Macaca fascicularis: one gene and its partner. Each later gene encodes a partner of the first gene's protein in a complex. Links are inferred from orthologs where the notes say so. Each region holds a gene or a part of one and is shown in the gene's direction. Other genes may lie near its edges.

Evidence for each region. Proteins that work in one complex are often made in the same cells at the same time.
Region 2: the proteins of LEPR (region 1) and LEP are in contact, whole or in part, in a crystal structure (PDB 7Z3R), measured with the Mus musculus proteins. The link is inferred for Macaca fascicularis from reciprocal best matches to the Homo sapiens genes LEPR and LEP. Residues at the interface, in NP_666258.2 of Mus musculus: Tyr439, Leu440, Thr441, Arg466, Ser468, Leu469, Tyr470, Gln499, Pro500, Ile501, Phe502, Leu503, Leu504, Ser505, Val560, Phe561, Glu563, Asn564; in NP_032519.1 of Mus musculus: Lys26, Val27, Asp30, Thr33, Leu34, Lys36, Thr37, Thr40, Arg41, Gln92, Gln96, Asn99, Asp100, Glu102, Asn103, Asp106, Leu107, Leu110.

What each region holds. Positions count from the first base shown.
Region 1 is NC_088375.1:169,057,178-169,059,427, reverse strand, and holds the end of LEPR (leptin receptor), read left to right. Parts: exon of another isoform or gene 1-55; intron 56-813; coding exon 814-1,638; 3' UTR 1,639-1,750; downstream 1,751-2,250. UniProt on the Homo sapiens protein: Receptor for hormone LEP/leptin. On ligand binding, mediates LEP central and peripheral effects through the activation of different signaling pathways such as JAK2/STAT3 and MAPK cascade/FOS.
Region 2 is NC_088377.1:169,928,486-169,930,709, forward strand, and holds the end of LEP (leptin), read left to right. Parts: intron 1-1,147; coding exon 1,148-1,507; 3' UTR 1,508-1,724; downstream 1,725-2,224. UniProt on the Homo sapiens protein: Key player in the regulation of energy balance and body weight control. Once released into the circulation, has central and peripheral effects by binding LEPR, found in many tissues, which results in the activation of several major signaling pathways.

The sequences.
Region 1 (2,250 bases):
CTTGGCAGGATTTTTCTTTGTGATATAATCATTTCTATAAAAAATATGATGTACATTTGTCTTGTGTGTTTGTCTTCATTTCACATGTCCATAGTAAATATTTTTACATGAAGTTATTTATAGAGAATAGTAATTTACCAGTTTGTGATCATCTCTTTCATCATCATTGTTCTCAACATATGATATTATTAGCTCTTATTTTCAGATAGTCTCAAGCAGATGCTCAGTGTACAGCAGATAAGTTTTTAATAGTCAACACAATTAGTTTACTTTCATACCATATCTTATTTCACAATACAGTTATTTTAACTGTTTTTAGACAAGTTATTTTGGTCATTTCACTTTATTATAATCCACTTTTTTCAATTTTGGGCTAAAATTTTGTGGGAATGTAATTTGCTACAAAATATTAGGAAGAAAGTATCTTCAGAAGATAGCATTTTCCAGTAACAGTAGCCAATCTTTCCTGAGAGCTAAGCACTTGCAGACACTAATTTATTTCTAGCCACAACACCATGAAGCACATTTTTAGAGATGATGAAATTGAAAGGCAGAGAGGTTAATGTACTTGTTCATGGTTGTAGAATTGGAAGAACTCAAGTCTAAGTCTGTCTTGTCCCACTTTCAAATGCTATCTTAAACGGGCTCTTCCTTATGCTTTTTGATATATGTATTTTAGTAAAAAACTAGTTAATTTGTGGTTGACTTACATCCTTTATTATTAACTTAACACACTTCCATTTCTGCGAGTATGACATAATGAAGCAAAATTTTTTAACATAATTGAGCCTTAAAATGTGTGTTTTCTTTTAGCCAGAAACGTTTGAGCATCTTTTTATCAAGCATACAGCATCAGTGACATGTGGTCCTCTTCTTTTGGAGCCTGAAACAATTTCAGAAGATATCAGTGTTGATACATCATGGAAAAATAAAGATGAGATGGTGCCAACAACTGTGGTCTCTCTACTTTCAACAACAGATCTTGAAAAGGGTTCTGTTTGTATTAGTGACCAGTTCAACAGTGTTAACTTCTCTGAGGCTGAGGGTACCGAGGTAACCTGTGAGGATGAAAGCCAGAGACAACCCTTTGTTAAATATGCCACGCTGATCAGCAACTCTAAACCAAGTGAAACTGATGAAGAACAAGGGCTTATAAATAGTTCAGTTACCAAGTGCTTCTCTAGCAAAAATTCTCCATTGAAGGATTCTTTCTCTAATAGCTCATGGGAGATAGAGGCCCAGGCATTTTTTATATTATCAGATCAGCGTCCCAACATAATTTTACCACACCTCACATTCTCAGAAGGATTGGATGAACTTTTGAGACTGGAGGGAAATTTCCCTGAAGAAAATAATGATGAAAAGTCTATCTATTATTTAGGGGTCACCTCAATCAAAAAGAGAGAGAGTGGTGTGCTTTTGACTGACAAGTCAAGGGTATTGTGCCCATTCCCAGCCCCCTGTTTATTCACGGACATCAGAGTTCTCCAGGACAGTTGCTCACACTTTGTAGAAAATAATTTCAACTTAGGAACTTCTAGTAAGAAGACTTTTGCATCTTACATGCCTCAATTCCAAACTTGCTCTACTCAGACTCATAAGATCATGGAAAACAAGATGTGTGACCTAACTGTGTAATTTCACTGAAGAAACCTTCAGATTTGTGTTATAATGGGTCATATAAAGTGTAATAGATTACTTTATAGTTGTGGGTGGGAGAGAGAAAAGAAACCAGAGTCAAATTTGAAAATAATTGTTCCAAATGAATGTTGTCTGTTTGTCCTCTCTTAGTAGTATAGACAAAAAATTTGAGAAAGCCTTCATAAGCCTACCAATGTTGACACGCTCTTCTATTTTATTCCCAATCTGTAGTGGGAAGGTCCCTTGTTTCCAGCTAGAAATAAGCCCAATAGACACCATCTTTTGTGAAATGTAATTGTTTTTTCAGAGGGCGTGTTGTTTTACTGCAAGTTTTTGTTTTGTACCAACACACACACACACACACACACGCACACACTCTTAGCACTTGTCCTTGTGTGTTTTGAGAGTATGTTACATACTTATATTTTGTGCTATCAGACTGTAGGATTTGAAATATGACTTCCCTAAATGTTTAAGATAAACAGAGAATTCAGCCCTGGACTAAGGGGTTATACTTGTGAAGACTAATAAGCCAATTGTTATGTACCAAATTTAAGATACGTACCATAGAATGAAATAACCTCCAAGAATGGTGATGCCCACAATCCG
Region 2 (2,224 bases), on another chromosome or scaffold:
CTAGAAGATACCCAAAAGAGTGAGTCTACCCTTTTTCACATTCAGCCCTCTACTGATTTGCAAATAGGAGTCAGTGCCCACCCTGGTCTTTTCTCTGGAGTCCAGTAGGCCTAGACCTTCTGCCATTTTCCTGATGAGGTCTATATTTGAAATTAGGAAGATTAAGTTTGAATCTTCACATTTCTGATGTCTAGGAGATCTTCAGCAAGTTCCTTAATGTCTTTAAGCCTTGGTTTCATCATCTGGATAATAGGGATATCACACACTATTCAGAAGGTTGTTATGAGACCTAAATTAGCTAAAGCAGGTGAATCCTCCTTACTCCCTGCATGCAGCTCTCCGGAGACCTCTCCTGGTCATTGTGGGTGTCTCATGGTGGTCTTGGGCAGTTAAGGAGAAGTTAGGTGTCCAGAAGCAAAGATGGCTCAGAACTAGATAGAGTCTTGGGCATTTTGTAGAGAAAAACTCTTGTCTCCTTTCAAAAATAATTAAAAAAAATTAGCTGGGCATATTAGCCACTCAGCAAGGCTGCACGTGATAGCTCCTGAGTGCCCCAACTTTGGGTGGTGTCAATACACGATATCACGGGAGCCCAGGGTAGTCACCACGGAGGTGTCAGCCTCAGTGCTGTGGGCAGATGGATGGGGAGAGCCCTCCCGGAACTGGAGTCACTGGAGCAGGGTTGGGGACCTCACTGAGGGTACGACCTTGATCTCTAAGGAGGAGGGACTGCCTGGAAAAGCTGACTGGGAGAGAGGACTCGGCTGGGGGTGAAAGGGACTAGAGAAAGCAGGGGGGGGGCGGTGCTTATGCAGGACCTCAGATTCCTGGGGAACAGACTCCACTAAATAAGACACAGGAAACCACGGCTGATTCTTCAGCAGAGGCCATGCAGAGACAGGAATGACCTGAGAAAGTCGGGAAGTGGAGGGAAGGATGGTGTGGGAAGAGCAGGAATCTTGGAGACCATCTTAGAGGCTTGGCAGTCACCTGGGCACAAGATACAAGGGCCTGAGCCAAAGTGGTGAGGGAGGGTGGAAGGAGGCAGCCAAGAGAATGACCCTCCATGCCCACCGGAAGGTGGAAGGCTCTGAGAGTGATTCCTCCCACGTGCTGAGCACTTGTTCTCCCTCTTCCTCCCGCATAGCAGTCGGTCTCCTCCAAACAGAGGGTCACTGGTTTGGACTTCATTCCTGGGCTCCACCCCGTCCTGACCTTATCCCAGATGGACCAGACACTGGCAATCTACCAACAGATCCTCATCAATCTGCCTTCCAGAAACGTGATCCAAATATCCAACGACTTGGAGAATCTCCGGGACCTTCTTCACCTGCTGGCCTTCTCTAAGAGCTGCCATTTGCCCTTGGCCAGTGGCCTGGAGACCTTGGAGAGCCTGGGGGATGTCCTGGAAGCTTCACTCTACTCCACGGAGGTGGTGGCCCTGAGCAGGCTGCAGGGGTCTCTGCAGGACATGCTGTGGCAGCTGGACCTCAGCCCTGGGTGCTGAGGCCTTGAAGGTCACTCTTCCTGCAAGGACTACATTGAGGGAAGGAACTCTGGCTTCTAGGTGTCTCCAGGAGACCATGAGAGCTGGGTGCGGTGGCTCACAAATGTAATCTGAGCACTTTGGGAGGGCAAGGTGGGTGAATCACCTGATGTCAGGAGTTCAAGACCAGCCTGGCCAAATGGCAAAACCCCGTCTCTAATAAAAATATAAAAATCAACCAAGAGTGGTGGCGCATACTTGTAATCCCAACTACTTGGGAGGCTGAGGTGGGAGAATCACTTGAACCCAGGAGGCAGAGGTTATAGTGAGCCAACATCTCGCCACTGCACTCCAACCTGGGTGACACAGGGAGACTCCATCTCAAAAAAAAAAAAAAAAAAAAAAAATCACAGTCATTGTTTCCCTGTTCCTCACCCCATCCACTCTTCTTCATTTTCATATATTTTACTTGTACATTTGCTTAATTAATATCTACCCCAATAAGAATGTAGGCTCTGCTGGGCACAGTGGCTCACTCCTGTAATCCCAGCACTTTGGGAGGCCGAGGCAGGTGGATCATCTGAGGTCAGGAGTTTGGAACCAGCCTGACTAACATGGTGAAACCCCGTCTCTACTAAAAATACAAAAAAATTAGCCAGGGGTGCTGGCGGGAGCCTGTAATCCAGCTGCTCAGGAGGATGAGGCAGGAGAATCGCTTGAACCTGGGAGGCAGAAGTT